Macaca fascicularis: one gene and its partner. The protein of the gene in region 1 purifies or fractionates together with the protein of each later gene. This does not show direct contact. Links are inferred from orthologs where the notes say so. Each region holds a gene or a part of one and is shown on either strand. Other genes may lie near its edges. The genes, in order: MAPK3 and DUSP6.

Evidence for each region.
Region 2: the proteins of MAPK3 (region 1) and DUSP6 purify together in Homo sapiens (affinity purification with mass spectrometry; 7 studies listed by BioGRID and IntAct, with this or other methods). This does not show direct contact. The link is inferred for Macaca fascicularis from reciprocal best matches to the Homo sapiens genes MAPK3 and DUSP6.

The regions. Positions count from the first base shown.
Region 1 is NC_088394.1:27,977,070-27,984,018, forward strand, and holds the end of MAPK3 (mitogen-activated protein kinase 3), read left to right. Parts: intron 1-688; coding exon 689-878; intron 879-1,061; coding exon 1,062-1,178; intron 1,179-1,439; coding exon 1,440-1,554; intron 1,555-1,937; coding exon 1,938-2,069; intron 2,070-2,219; coding exon 2,220-2,329; intron 2,330-2,424; coding exon 2,425-2,547; 3' UTR 2,548-2,579; intron 2,580-4,509; 3' UTR 4,510-5,110; downstream 5,111-6,949. Other genes in the region: lysophospholipase D GDPD3, read left to right, coding at 5,746-5,884, 6,160-6,202, 6,444-6,579, 6,669-6,714, 6,815-6,933.
Region 2 is NC_088385.1:96,314,646-96,322,311, reverse strand, and holds the start of DUSP6 (dual specificity protein phosphatase 6), read left to right. Parts: upstream 1-3,554; 5' UTR 3,555-4,018; coding exon 4,019-4,418; intron 4,419-5,032; coding exon 5,033-5,470; intron 5,471-6,496; coding exon 6,497-6,804; 3' UTR 6,805-7,666. UniProt on the Homo sapiens protein: Dual specificity protein phosphatase, which mediates dephosphorylation and inactivation of MAP kinases. Has a specificity for the ERK family. Plays an important role in alleviating chronic postoperative pain.

The DNA of each region.
Region 1 (6,949 bases):
AGAGGAGATTTCAGACTTCCATGGGTTAAGTCCAGAGTTGCTGCTCTTTTTGTAGTTTTCTTTTTTTAATTTATTTATTTATTTATTTTTGAAACAGAGTCTCACTCTATCATCCAGGCTGGAGTACAGTGACATGATCTCGGCTCACTACATCTGTCTCCCGGGTTCAAGTGATTCTCGTGTTGCAGCCTCCCGAGTAGCTGGGATTACAGGCACATGCCACTGTCCCCAGTTAATTTTGGTATTACCAGTAGAGACAGAGTTTTGCCATGTTGCCCAGGCTGGTGGTCTCAAACTCCTGGCCTCAAGCGATCCTCCCGCCTCAGCCTCCCAAAGTGCTGGGATTACAGGCGTGACCCACCACTCCTGGCCCAAGTTGCTGCTCTTAACTGTGAAGTTCTCCGGCCTCCCACAGTTTATTATTATCCCTGTTTCCCCGGTAGGGAAACTGAGGCCACAGAAGTGAAGCCCCTTGCTCAGGATCAGCAACGGTGACGCGACAGAGGCTCAGAGCCCTGCCGCTGGGTAACGGCAGCAGCTTGCCCAGCTGGTGGTGCAGGTTGGCAGATCTATTGAGTCCCAGGGGCCCTGGCTGGAGGAGATGTGCAGCCTCGCCTTCAGAGCCTGTTTTCCTTAACCAAGTGCCTCCCGCTGCCCCCTCCCCGGGGGTCTCCGGAACCATCCTCAGCTACATTGTGCAGGACCTGATGGAGACTGACCTGTACAAGTTGCTGAAAAGCCAGCAACTGAGCAATGACCACATCTGCTACTTCCTCTACCAGATCCTGCGGGGCCTCAAGTACATCCACTCCGCTAATGTGCTCCACCGGGATCTAAAGCCCTCCAACCTGCTCATCAACACCACCTGCGACCTTAAGGTCAGAGGGTTGGGCACCTGTCCCCTCCTCCCCCAGGGTCTGGGGCTTCCAGGTGACCAGTAGAAGCCTTGGGCAGGAGAACATTGCAAGCAAGGGGAACAGTGGAGGCAAAGACAAGGGGGCGTGACTGCTTAAGCTGCAGAGGCCTTGAGCACCGAGCTTAGCAGCTTGGTCTGATTCCAGATTTGCGATTTCGGCCTGGCCCGGATTGCCGATCCTGAGCATGACCACACCGGCTTCCTGACGGAGTATGTGGCTACACGCTGGTACCGGGCCCCAGAGATCATGCTGAACTCCAAGGTAGGAGGGGCTGCCCACTCCTGAAGGGAAGGGACCAGGTCCCAGGAAGCCCTGGAGCTACCTCCGAGCCAGATACCGACCCCCATGACACAGGAATTCCACCCTCTGGGCCTTGGGCTCTGCAAGGAAGCTGAGCATTGAGCCCTCCAGGCCTCTGCCTTCTGCCTGGTGTTGGATCTAACTTGGAGATGGTGGCTTGGTGTAGAAACAGGACCCTGTTGAGGCTGGCCCAGGAGCCCACCACTTCCTCCTCTCTCCCAGGGCTATACCAAGTCCATCGACATCTGGTCTGTGGGCTGCATTCTGGCTGAGATGCTCTCTAACCGGCCCATCTTCCCTGGCAAGCACTACCTGGATCAGCTCAACCACATTCTGGGTGAGGGAGGCCCGGCTGGCTGAGTGGGGGATGATTACCTTCTCCAAGGTGAGATTTCTCAAGAGTCCAAGTCAGGGATACCACCACGTGTGGGGCGCCTCCAGCATCTCATGGTATCTCAATGAGGTATAGATATTATCCCCATTGGATAGATGGGAAAAGCAAGTCTAAGTCCCACACCTAAGGAGGCACCAGACCTAGGATTTGAGCCTCGGTCTGCCTGAATCCAGCCCCCTTGCTCTGCACCACCATGCTAATGACTAGGAGGTAACTGAGGGATTGGCATGGGTTGCTGGGCTGGGGGTCTTGTTCTTGCCTTGTTGCCTGTTCTGTTCCCAGAAAGAAGGAGGTGATCATTTACCAAGTCACCTCCTTATCCACAGGCATCCTGGGCTCCCCATCCCAGGAGGACCTGAATTGTATCATCAACATGAAGGCCCGAAACTACCTACAGTCTCTGCCCTCCAAGACCAAGGTGGCTTGGGCCAAGCTTTTCCCCAAGTCAGACTCCAAAGGTTTGAGAGACATGAGGACGGGTGTGGGATAAACCCTGGGTGCCATGGAGGGTACGGGAGCCCAGCAGCAGCTGGAGGAGACAGGCAAAGTGATGCTTCTGGGAGCTTCTCCAGTCTTCCCTGTGACCCCTGACTCCTGCCCTTCTATAGCCCTTGACCTGCTGGACCGGATGTTAACCTTTAACCCCAATAAACGGATCACAGTGGAGGAAGCGCTGGCTCACCCCTACCTGGAGCAGTACTATGACCCGACGGATGAGGTGGGCCAGTCCCCAGCAGCAGTAGGGCCAGGGGCAGGGGGGTAAGTAGGCATCCCCCATGCCAGGCCTGAGCCTTGCTGTCTCTGCCACCCCAGCCAGTGGCCGAGGAGCCCTTCACCTTCGCCATGGAGCTGGATGACCTACCTAAGGAGCGGCTGAAGGAGCTCATCTTCCAGGAGACAGCACGCTTCCAGCCTGGGGCGCTAGAGGCCCCCTAACCCAGACAGACATCCCTGCACCCTGGGGCCTGGTGAGTGTCCCCATGGCCGGCACACAGATACGCTGATACTAAATACCTGTATCTATATCTATCTATATCTCTATCTGTATCTGTATCTATATCAATATCTATATCTGTATTTGTATGTGCCTCCATATAGCAGCAAGCTTACCCTGCACCCATGCTCGGTGTGTCTGGTGACAACAGAAGTGCCCGGGGGCTGGGTGCAGTGGCTCATGCCTGGAATCCCAGCACTTTGGGAGACTGAGACTGAGATGAGTGGATCACCTGAGGGTCAGGAGTTTGAGACCAGCCTGGCCAGCATGGCGAAATCCCATCTATACTAAAAATACAAAAATTAGCCAGGCACAGTGGGTCACTCTGGTAATCCCAGCACTTTGGGAGGCTGAGGCGAGTGGATCACCTGAAGTCAGGGGTTCGAGACCAGCCTGGCCAATGTGGTGAAACCCTGTCTCTACTAAAAATACTAAAATTAGCCGGGTGTGTAGGCATGCGCTTCTAGTCCCAGCTACTCAGGAGGCTGTGGTGGGAGGATTGCTTGAACCCGGGAGGCGGAGGTTGCACCACTATACGCCAGCCTGGGCAACAGTGAGACTCTGTCTCAAAAAAAAAAAGGGGGGGCCAGGCACAGTGGCTCACATCTGTAAGCCCAGCACTTTGGGAGGCCAAGGTGATGGATCACGAGGTCAAGAGTTCGAGACCAGCCTGGCCAACATGGTGAAACCCCGTCTCTACTAAGAATACAAAAATTAGCCAGGTGTGGTGGCGTGTGCCTGTAATCTCAGCTACTTGGGAGGCTGAGGCAGGAGAATTGCTTGAACCCAGGAGGCAGAGGTTGCAGTGAGTTGAGATCACACCACTGCACTCCAGCCTGGACTACAGAGCAAGACTCCATCTCAAAAAAAAAAAAAAATGCCCAAGTGCTGCCCAGACTCATGGCCCACCCAGTCCTCCAGCCCCAAATGTCTCCACCTGTCAACACCCTGCATCCTCCAGCCCCAGCAGCCATTCTAATCTCCTTCTGGGAACAGAACTGGTAAAGAGGCAAGAGGTCACTGAGGGGCCCTGTCACCCAGGCTTCGGCTCTGGGTGTGGCAGAAGCAGGTGGGGCCATGATTGCTTTGGGAGGGGCCCAGCAGCACCCAGCCTGACCCAGATTGCCAGGCCTCCTCACACCTGCTGCCAGATCAGCAGTTCACATAGCTGTGGGGACCCTGCTGGGCCTGCCCCCACCCACACTGCCTCCTTGCCTCCTCTGGTCTCTTCCTGTCTTCAGCCAGGTGTGGCCTAATAGGAGGAAGGCGTGCATACCTGGGCTCAAACTCCAGCTGTGCCACTTAGTAAGTGCTGTGTGATATTGGGCAAGGCACCTCACCTCTCTGCACCTCAGTTTCCTGGAGTCAGTTCTATTTATCTTTTTTTTGTTTTCGTTTTTTTAAGACAGTGTCTCACTCTGTCGCCCAGGCTGGAGTGCAGTGGTGCAATCATAGCTCAATGCAGCCTCAAATTCCTGGGGCGCAAGGGATCCTCCCAGCTGGCTGGACGAGCCATTGCAACTGGCTAATTTTTTTTTTTTTTTTAAAGTTGGGGTCTTGCTATATTGCCCAGGCCAGTCTCAAACTCCTGGGCTCAAGTGACCCACCCACTTCGACTTCTCAAAGTGCTGGGATTACAGGCATGAGCCACTGTGCCCAGCTGAGACTGTTCTAATAATGAAAGCATAAAACCCTAAGCATTGTTCTAAGAGGTTTACATGTCTTAATTCCTTTAATCTTACAGCAGTACCTCCAGCTAGGTACTATTATTATCTCCATTTACAGATAAGGAAACTGAGACCCAGCCTATCCAGCTGTGAGGGTGAGAGACGTTCAGGTCAGGGCTCCCGCGGGTCTGCCTGGGGTATGCTAATGACTCCTTTTCTGTCTGCTTCTCTCTTTAGGACCTGCCTCCTGCCTGCCCCTCTCCCGCCGGACTGTTAGAAAATGGACACTGTGCCGAGCCCAGACCTTGGCAGCCCAGACCGGGGTGGAGCATGGGCCTGGCCACCTCTCTCCTTTGCTGAGGCCTCCAGCTTTAGGCAGGCCAAGGCCTCCTCCCCAGCCGCCCTTCCCACAGGACCTCGGGGGCTCAGGTGGCCCCAGTTCAATCTCCCACTGCTGCTGCTGCACCCTTACCTTCCCCAGTGTCCCAGTCTCTGGCAGTTCTAGAATGGAGGGGCTCTGGCTGCCCTGACCTGCTGAGGGGCAGGGGTGGAGGGTGGGGGGCGCTGAGTAGGGACTCAGGGCCAGGCCTGCCCCCCTCATCTCATTTAAACCCCACCCTATCTTCCCTGAAGGAACATTCCTTAGTCTCAAGGGCTAGCATCCCCGAGGAGCCGGACTGGGCTGAATCCCCTCCCCGTCAAAGCTGTCACTTCGAGTGCCCTCGCTGCTTCTGTGTGTGGTGAGCAGAAGTGGAGCTGGGGGGCGTGGAGAGCCCAGCGCCCCTGCCACCTCCCTGACCCATCTAATATATAAATATAGAGATGTGTCTATGGCTGACCCTGGCTCTGTCTGTGTTTGCGACGCCTCCGCCCTGCCCCGTGCAGCTCTGAGGACAGACTCCTGCAGCCCAGCTGCTGCTTGACTTGGGCTTTCTGGGGCCTGGTGCCCTTCACTCCCAGCTGCCCAGGGTTGGGGACGGGGCTCTGGAGAGCTCCAGACTCCTAGAAAGAAGGGGGTCAATTTTCCCCTTGGTCACTGTCCTGTCCCCACGCTAATGGCTTCCTGTCTAACTGGTTGGGGGTGATTCAGGAGCACCCTACACATCCCTGGATCCTCTGAAACTGCAAGGGGTAGGCATGTTGGATGTGCTGGCTACAAGCACCAGTGGGAGGGAGAGGTCCTAACAATCCTGGGTGGTTTTTACTCCCCCGATGTGGCCCAGGACAGGGGGATGCTGGGGTCTGGGAAGGGCTTGGGGATGTGAGGGCCAGGGCTGCTTGCCTCATCTGATACTACCCCGGCTTCAGCTGAACCCTGCAGCCTGGCTCCAAGCCAGCCCAGCGGCAGGCTCAGCAGGTCCCACGGGCGTGGCAGTGGCCAGTAGTAGAGCCGGCCCACACCGGCTAGGCAGGCAGCACAGTCCCACGGACGGCTGAGTGTGCGGCTGCAGGAGCTTCTGTGGGAGTACAGACATGAGCCTTTCGCTGTACTATGCCCTTCCCGCCCTGGGCAGCTATGCCATGCTCTCCATCTTCTTCCTGCGCTGGCCTCACCTGCTGCACACGCCCCGGGCTCCCACCTTCCGCGTCCGCCTGGCGGCCCACCGAGGAGGTGAGCCGGGTGGGGGTGAGAACAGGTGCCAAAGTGGACAGCAGAGAAGGGTAGGTCCAAGAGCGCGTGCTAGAAACAGGGCAGGGACCAAGAGAGAAGGAGAGCAAGGTGGCAGGGCAGGGTATGGACAAGGAAGAAGAGGCTGGTGCAGCCTGGGCTGGCTGGGGAGGTAAGGCCAGAGGGAGGATGGAGCCCAGAGAAGGAACGTGGGTGATGAGGTCGGGCCAGGCCCCTAGACCCCAAGCCTCAGGGGCCCACTCCAGTGTCCCCCACAGGATCTGGAGAGCTGCTGGAAAGCACCATGGAGGCCATGGAGAAGTGAGTGTATCTGCCCCTGCCCAGGCTGTCATGTGAGGGTGTGCAGGTCGTGCACTGCATCACAGCAAGGGACACCATTCACTTCCTAACCGGATGACTGGCGCCCCCTGGAGGTGGCCTGCACATCCCGCGGTGAACTCTGCTCTCACATTCCCCGCCACCTCCCCACCACCATGTCCATCATCCCAGTCCCCTGCCCCCCAAACCCCCGCCGCCCCGCAGCTAACCTTCGCCCCCACAGCTCCATGGCCCAGCGCTCAGACCTCCTGGAGCTCGACTGTCAGCTGACACGAGACAAAGTGGTGGTGGTGTCACATGATGAGAACCTGTACCGCCAGTCGGGCCTGAACAGGGATGTGGGCAGCCTGGACTTCGAGGTGGGCCCTGCCCTGACACCCCAACCCCCACCCTGAGAGTCGCCATGCCCAATGCAGGCCTCTAGTGACATCCTTCCTGTCCTCCCCAGGACCTGCCCCTCTACAAGGAGGAGCTGGAGGTTTACTTCTCTCCAGGTGAGAGCAAGGGCTTCAAGCCCTGCCTGGGCCATGCCCGCCTTCCCTGGACCCCCGCTTTGGCTTTCCTCTCTGACCCCTCTTCCCACACCACCCCCAGGCCACTTTGCTCACGGGTCAGACCGGCGCATGGTTCGTCTGGAGGACCTGTTCCAGAGGTTTCCAAGGACACCCATGAGTGTGGAGATCAAAGGGAATAATGAAGAGCTCATCTGTGAGGTGGTGCTGCAGGCAG
Region 2 (7,666 bases), on another chromosome or scaffold:
GTGCTGATGCACTAGATAAGCAATGGCACTTGATGGCACTTGTGAAGATTAGGATCTATGGCATATTCTAAGGGAGAGAGAAGACGCAACATTTAGTGAATGGCTGACTGATGAAGAGTTGCGTGCAAAGAAAACCACTGATGTGTAAAAGGAGCAGGGAAAGTAGCCTAACTTTTGATCTTTGACCTCTGTAGGGAGGATGCAACAAAAAACGTGAGGCTGGAGAAAGCCTGGAGGTCAAAATTCAAAATGCTTCCCTTGAGATTCTTCATATGTGGGCAGGGAATACCACGTGGAGGTGAGTATAGTGTCCACAACACTATATATAATCCGTGCATGTGGGCATCCTTAAGAGTCTGTAAAGGGTTTGGCCTCACGTCTTGACACTCTCTGTTGCTACTGTGTGACCTTGGGCAAATTCCTTAATCTTTGTAATGGGGATAATTTACGTCTTTTCTGAAGACTGTCCGAAATTATGCACGTAAACACAGAAACAACACGATACCACCCATCGTGTAGTAAGTGCCTAATAGGCATTGTTATATCAGTTTGCTGTGACTGGAGAACACAGTGTTTCAAAGGTAACCAGTAGAGAGAAGTCAGAAATGTAGCTGGGTCCATTCTGATAATCGTGCTAAAGGATTTTGATCCTGGTCCACGATAACACCTCCTTTACTTGACAGCTGAATTGGAACGGATTAAATCGGTTAGGGTAGTACCTCAGAGGGCTTTCCTGGAGATGAGCGAGTGCAGGCGGGCTGTCAAGCAAGCCTCAAGGGGCATCTGTGGGATGCCCAAACCGTGCCCCCAAACCGAGGCCTTTTCACAGATCCTCAATTCAGAAGCATAAAAAATTAATTCCAACAGCTAATAGCACCCCACCATCACTTTAGGACATTTCACCGTACCCATTTTGTTGTCACAGGGACCCTATGAAGCAGATAGTTTTATCTTCATTATAAAGAAGACTGCAACTTAGAACAACTAAATGATTTAACTAAGGGCGCATACCTAGGAAGAACTGGGGGACATAATGCAAACGAGGGCCGTCCCACTCCAGAAGCCCTTTTCTCAGCATTTCTAGGACTGAGCGGTCAGAACGCCACTTAGCCAATGCGCCAGGAAAGATCGGCATTCCCTTGGCAATAGAGTTCAGAAGCATGGGTAAAAACTACAGTTTCGATGTATCCTCTCGAATCTATAGTCATAGTCAGGTAGCTGCGTATTAAAACAGGCAAAGTGGAAACCCAACTTCCCTCCCTTTCTCTTCTGTTGGAGGTGCTGCGCTGAATCTCCAACAGGTTTGCTCTTCTCAGTTCCTCTGCAGGGCATCCTGCCTCTTCCCTCCCTGTCCCCAGGTCCCAATGACTGAAACGTCTCGGGGTGGGAACTTCTGTGACAGATCGGGGAGGATAGGGGGAGTCAACTCCAGCGCAGGCCTCCCACGGCTGAAACTAAAAGATACCCAGTGAAATATAGGAGTTTTGTTCCAAAGGCTGCCCAAAAATGGTGCGGAGAAGAGCTCGGCAATCCCCACCTTCGTCGAACACGCTCCTCCAGGGGCGGCCTGCCTGCAGCAGAGCTCCAAAATTGGCAACCTGGGCCTCGCAGCCGCCTTTTTTTAGCCTACATTTCCCAAACCAGGGAAGAGGCGGGTAACTAAAAATGCAAATTGCAGCGGGGGTGTCAGCAGGCATGCCCGTGGGTGCGGGGCGTCGGGCGAAGGGAGACCCCGCGACCTTAGGCGCCCTCGCGGTGTTCACGGTGGGCGCAAAGCGCAGCGAGGGACGCTCCCCAAAGCCGCACCCCGCCGGGCGGCTGCCCCCGCTTCCGCCTCTCAGGCATCGGCGGGACAAAGCGCGGCCTCTTTTCCGCCGGGGTTTAGGGAGGGGAGGCCGGATTAGGGCCCGCGCCTTCCGGCCGTGGCCCTCCCGCGCCGAGCTGGCCGCACACAGGTGGTTTTCCGCTCGGGAGGGGCAGGCCTCGGCACTTTTATATAACAATAGAGCTCTGCGCGCCGGGAACGCGCCTCCCCGCCGCCGCGGCCCCCACCCGGCCACGCCTCCATCCGGCTTCCAGTCCGTCCGCCCCGCGGCGCCTGGGCCGAGCGCTGCTCACTGGCCTGGCCGGCACCTCCCCAAAGTTACCTGCTGGCTCTGCAGGGCGGTAGAGACGTTCCCCTCGACTCCTTGGGAGCCAGGAGCCAGGGGGGTCCAGGCAGGCACTCGTCCTTGCTCCTCCCACCCGCCCCACATCTTTATGGAACCGGGAGTCCCGCGCTCAGCCCAGTACCCGTCCACTGCATCGCGCACAACCCCCTGCCCGCCAAGCGGGGAGACGGGGACAGCGGGGCGGTGGCAGGGAGCGCAGCGCGCAGGCGCGACTAGTGCTCCCCGGAGTGCCCGGCGCTGGACAAAGGGAGGAGGCGGCGGCAGGAGAGGGCTGGGGAGGCCCCCTCTGACATGCCTCCCTGCCAACTAACCAATCGTCAAGCCCCCCTGCTGAGGCCCCGCAGCCTGCAGGCCTTCCCCACTCCTCGCCCATGGCGGGGACTGCCGGCCTGGCCCGGCGCGTCCCAGCACACCTCGCCCAGGCAGCCCCGCCAGACCGGCTCCTCCGTCAGAAGCCGAGCTCCTTGCCCAGAAATCATTAACGAGCGCGACCCCCCAGCAGGCGACGGTGGTGATGGGGTGGGGGGAGAGATTTAGATCCCCGGAACAATGGCTTGTAACTCCCCACGCCGCTGGAGCGGAATACAGTAAAAGCACTGGACTGACCTAAGAGTTTGTTTCTGCACTCTACATTGTTTTAAAGAAAATAAAATGTTACTTTAAGAAAAAAGGTTTCCTTCTGATTTTCTGAACAACCAGACGTTTGTTTGTTTGCTTTAAAATGTTTCAACAAAATCCTGGTTTGTTTCGAAATATGTTGGATTAGCATTTAACACCTCATCGGTCACTAAAGCCCAGTCAATTCACCAGCCCCAACACAGCCTCGGCTAAAAGAACATCAGAGCAAACAGAGCTAGGCCTTTAAAACTGGCAAACAAATGCCACACACCGCCTAAAGAAGGGGGGTTGGGGGAGGGGAGGGTTAAGGCGAACTTGGGTCCAAATGAGTTTGAAGAGAATACAAAGAACAAAAAGTCAGCACAAGTTTTCCTAAAGCTAGCTCGCGAACGCTAGCGTCGCGAACAAGGGCTTTTGTGCATGCTAATTGCGCCATTGGTGCGCAAAAGTTCCGACGCGAAGTGTGAACTCTCAACAGAAGGAAACATGAGACAACTGAAGTGCCCTGGTTTATGTGCCCTGCTCCTCCTCCGCTGCCGCCTCCCCTTCTTTCTCCTTCCTCCCGCCGAGCCCGCTGTTGCAGCTTGTTTGCACTGGGGCTTATCCGGAGCGGAAATTCCTTTCCGTTTTTGTGAATGACAAACTCATTAACAATTCATCAACACAACCTGTTCCAGCCGGCCCGTCCCCACGGCAACAGCCCCTTCCGCAGCACGCTCATTGGCTGGCCCGGAGAATGTATCCATTGAGACGCTCGCTGTTTGTATCCATTGAGGAGCTGCCTCGCGCAGGGGGTGTGCGAGGCTGAGTCCAAGGGATAGTGAGCAAATCGAGTCTTAAATAATCCGGGGAGAAAGACGCCCGGGTAGATTTGAGGTGCAGACTTGGCGGGAGGGATTAGGAACCGCTAGACTTTTTTTCCTCCCCTCTCAGTAGAACTGAGTCCGAATTAATTGGATTTCATTCACTGGGGAGGAACAAAAACTGTCTGGGCAGCTTCATTGAGAGATTCATTGACACTAACAGCCAGCGGCTGCAGCTGGGTGCAGAAAGAACCTCCGGCTTTACTTCTGTCTCGTCTTCCCCAACCGCTAGCCTCGGCTTGGGTTAGGCGAGGCGGAATTAAACCCCGCTCCGAGAGCGGCAGCTTCACGCGCAGCGCGCTCGGCCTATGCCTGCCCCGAGGGGCGTCTGGTAGGCACCCCGCCCTCTCCCGCAGCTCGACCCCCATGATAGATACGCTCAGACCCGTGCCCTTCGCGTCGGAAATGGCGATCAGCAAGACGGTGGCGTGGCTCAACGAGCAGCTGGAGCTGGGCAACGAGCGGCTGCTGCTGATGGACTGCCGGCCGCAGGAGCTGTACGAGTCGTCGCACATCGAGTCGGCCATCAACGTGGCCATCCCGGGCATCATGCTGCGGCGCCTGCAGAAGGGCAACCTGCCGGTGCGCGCACTCTTCACGCGCGGCGAGGACCGGGACCGCTTCACCCGGCGCTGCGGCACCGACACAGTGGTGCTCTACGACGAGAGCAGCAGCGACTGGAACGAGAATACGGGCGGCGAGTCAGTGCTAGGGCTGCTGCTCAAGAAGCTCAAGGACGAGGGTTGCCGGGCGTTCTACCTGGAAGGTACGCGCCCGGGGAACTCCGCGCGCGGGGCAGGGCGAGGGGCGCAGGGCTGCGGGCGGGGCGCGTGGACTGAAAATGCCTCTGCTGCGCTCAGCTGGCGCTTCGGAGCCGCGCTGCTAGCCTAGGGGCCGGCAGCCGGCAAGGTATCGGCCGCGAACCGCGCGTTCCGCACCAGAGAACCGGGCCGGCTCAGAATCCACCCGCTTCCGGCTGCGGGTACCGGCGGTTTCTTTCTAACGGGTTCTGCGCCTTCTTACCCAGAACATTCTCCTCCATCACCCTATTTTCTATCGTTCGATTTTGAATTAAGATTTGGAGGACCGGAGAGATTGTTGGGGATGCAAATTGGCACATCCTAGCTTTCAAAATATTCCAAAAAGTTGCCATTTTGTGTATTTCCGGATTCAAACGAATAAGGGTTCTCTGGCGAGGCGGGCCCGTTCGTTCCATTCCCGAGGGTGCACATTTAAAGTGTATTTCTATTATTTATGGTTCTGTATGTAGGGGGTTCGTAGGGTGCTTGTGGTGTTTCTTGCGCCGGGTTGCGGTTCTTACAAGCTGTGAAAACTACTACGGCTTCTCGGGTTACACGATTGCTTTTCTCGTTCTGGCAGGTGGCTTCAGTAAGTTCCAAGCCGAGTTCGCCCTGCATTGCGAGACCAATCTAGACGGCTCGTGTAGCAGCAGCTCGCCGCCGTTGCCAGTGCTGGGGCTCGGGGGCCTGCGGATCAGCTCTGACTCTTCCTCGGACATTGAGTCTGACCTTGACCGAGACCCCAATAGTGCAACAGACTCGGATGGCAGTCCGCTGTCCAACAGCCAGCCTTCCTTCCCGGTGGAGATCTTGCCCTTCCTTTACTTGGGTTGTGCCAAAGACTCCACCAACTTGGACGTGTTGGAGGAATTCGGCATCAAGTACATCTTGAACGTCACCCCCAATTTGCCGAATCTCTTTGAGAACGCAGGAGAGTTTAAATACAAGCAAATCCCCATCTCGGATCACTGGAGCCAAAACCTGTCCCAGTTTTTCCCTGAGGCCATTTCTTTCATAGGTGAGACTAATTAATAGTAGTCGTTCTGACATTTAAATGCAAAATTCCCAGCCATTCATAGAGTTTAAGCTGTTAATCGTTCTTGCTGCTTGCTAATTTGTCGTACTGCAGGTCTCTAATTTTCCTAAAGCGTCCTTAATTCTGGTTTATCTTCTCGCTAAGGGAAGAAAACCTGCCTTTTGATATGGCTGCAGATTACAGGTGTATTTGAAACGCTGTTTCTGTGAATCTTTGAATTCAGTCATTTGACAGTCGTTCATAATCGGACAACAGATTTTTCCCACAGTCTTGGACTCAGGGGAAGGGTCAGATAGAAGTATTCACTATAGACAGAAATTCCAGCATTGCTTTATAATTTTAAAAAACCTAGGAGTTATTTTAGGACGTCAAGTTAGTTGTTGGAAAGCAGTATGAATGCTAAATGTTATCCAGTTGAATGATACTGTGATACTGGTAACAGTGAGACAGTGGGTAACCTGAGCCCAGAAGGAAGAACTGTGGGCTGGAAGCCTGGGAGAAGTGAATCTCCAGGCATTGTAATGCATTTCCTATTACAAAGGAACTCATTTTCAGGCCATGTCGACATCCTGTTCCTCCTAATGGGCCGTCCCCTGTGACTTCCCTCTCTCTTTTAAAATGCCTGAATACCTCCATTGTTAGCTGCACAACATTTGGAGAATAATTTAATAGACCCTTGCAGTCTGGTTGTCTGTATAAAAGGCATTCACGAACATATTGCAGGGTTTCTGGTATTCACATGCTGAGGCAAAGAATGCACCCATTAAGGAGTTTTTTGTTGGCAGAAACTTAATACAAAAGCTCTCTTTTCAGAAAATATCTGAAATATGTAATTGTGTCCAGTGTACATGTTTAATTTCAATGATACATTTTCTGCTGCTTGTAGGGCTCAACTGCCACACACAACTATTATTACTATTATATTTTTAAGTTCACTTCTTAGACTGATCATTCACAAAGGGTGGTTTTCAGTCTACTGAGATCTTGCTTTTCTTTTTGTGTTCACAGATGAAGCCCGGGGCAAGAACTGTGGTGTCTTGGTACATTGCTTGGCTGGCATTAGCCGGTCAGTCACTGTGACTGTGGCTTACCTTATGCAGAAGCTCAATCTGTCGATGAACGATGCCTATGACATTGTCAAGATGAAGAAATCCAACATATCTCCTAACTTCAACTTCATGGGTCAGCTGCTGGACTTCGAGAGGACACTGGGACTCAGCAGCCCCTGTGACAACCGGGTTCCAGCACAGCAGCTGTATTTTACCACCCCCTCCAACCAGAATGTCTACCAGGTGGACTCCCTGCAATCTACGTGAAAGACCCCACACCCCTCCTTGCTGGAATGTGTCTGGTCCTTCAGCAGTTTCTCTTGGCAGCATCAGCTGGGCTGCTTTCTTTGTGTGTGGCCCCAGGTGTCAAAATGACACCGGCTGTCTGTACTAGACAAGGTTACCAAGTGCGGAATTGGTTAATACTAACAGAGAGATTTGCTCCATTCTCTTTGGAATAACAGGACATGCTGTATAGATACAGGCAGTAGGTTTGCTCTGTATCCATGTGTACAGCCTACCCATGCAGGATTCGAGGACTTCCAGGCGCATAGGGTAGGACCAAATGGTAGGGTAGGAGCATGTGTTCTTGAGGGCCTTGTAAGGCTGTTTCCTTTTGCATCTGGAACTGACTATATAATTGTCTTCAATGAAGACTAATTCAATTTTGCATATAGAGGAGCCAAAGAGAGATTTCAGCTCTGTATTTGTGGTATCAGTTTGGAAAAAAATCTGATACTCCATTTGATTATTGTAAATATTTGATCTTAAATCACTTGACAGTGTTTGTTTGAATTGTGTTTGTTTTTTCCTTTGATGGGCTTAAAAGAAATGATCCAAAGGGAGAAAGAGCAGTATGCCACCTCTTAAAACAAAACAAAACAAAAAAATTGTGCTCTTTTCTAATCCAAAGGGTATATTTGCAGCATGCTTGACTTTACCAATTCTGATGACACCTTTATGGACACTATTATCACTAAGAGCTTGTTATGGCGAAGTCTTTAGTCTTTTTCATGTATCTTCCTCATGATTTTTTTCTCTTTATGTAGTTTGACTATGCCTTACCTTTGTAAATATTTTGGCTTGTGTTGTCTCAAAGGGGATAATCTTGGAAAGACACCAAATCATG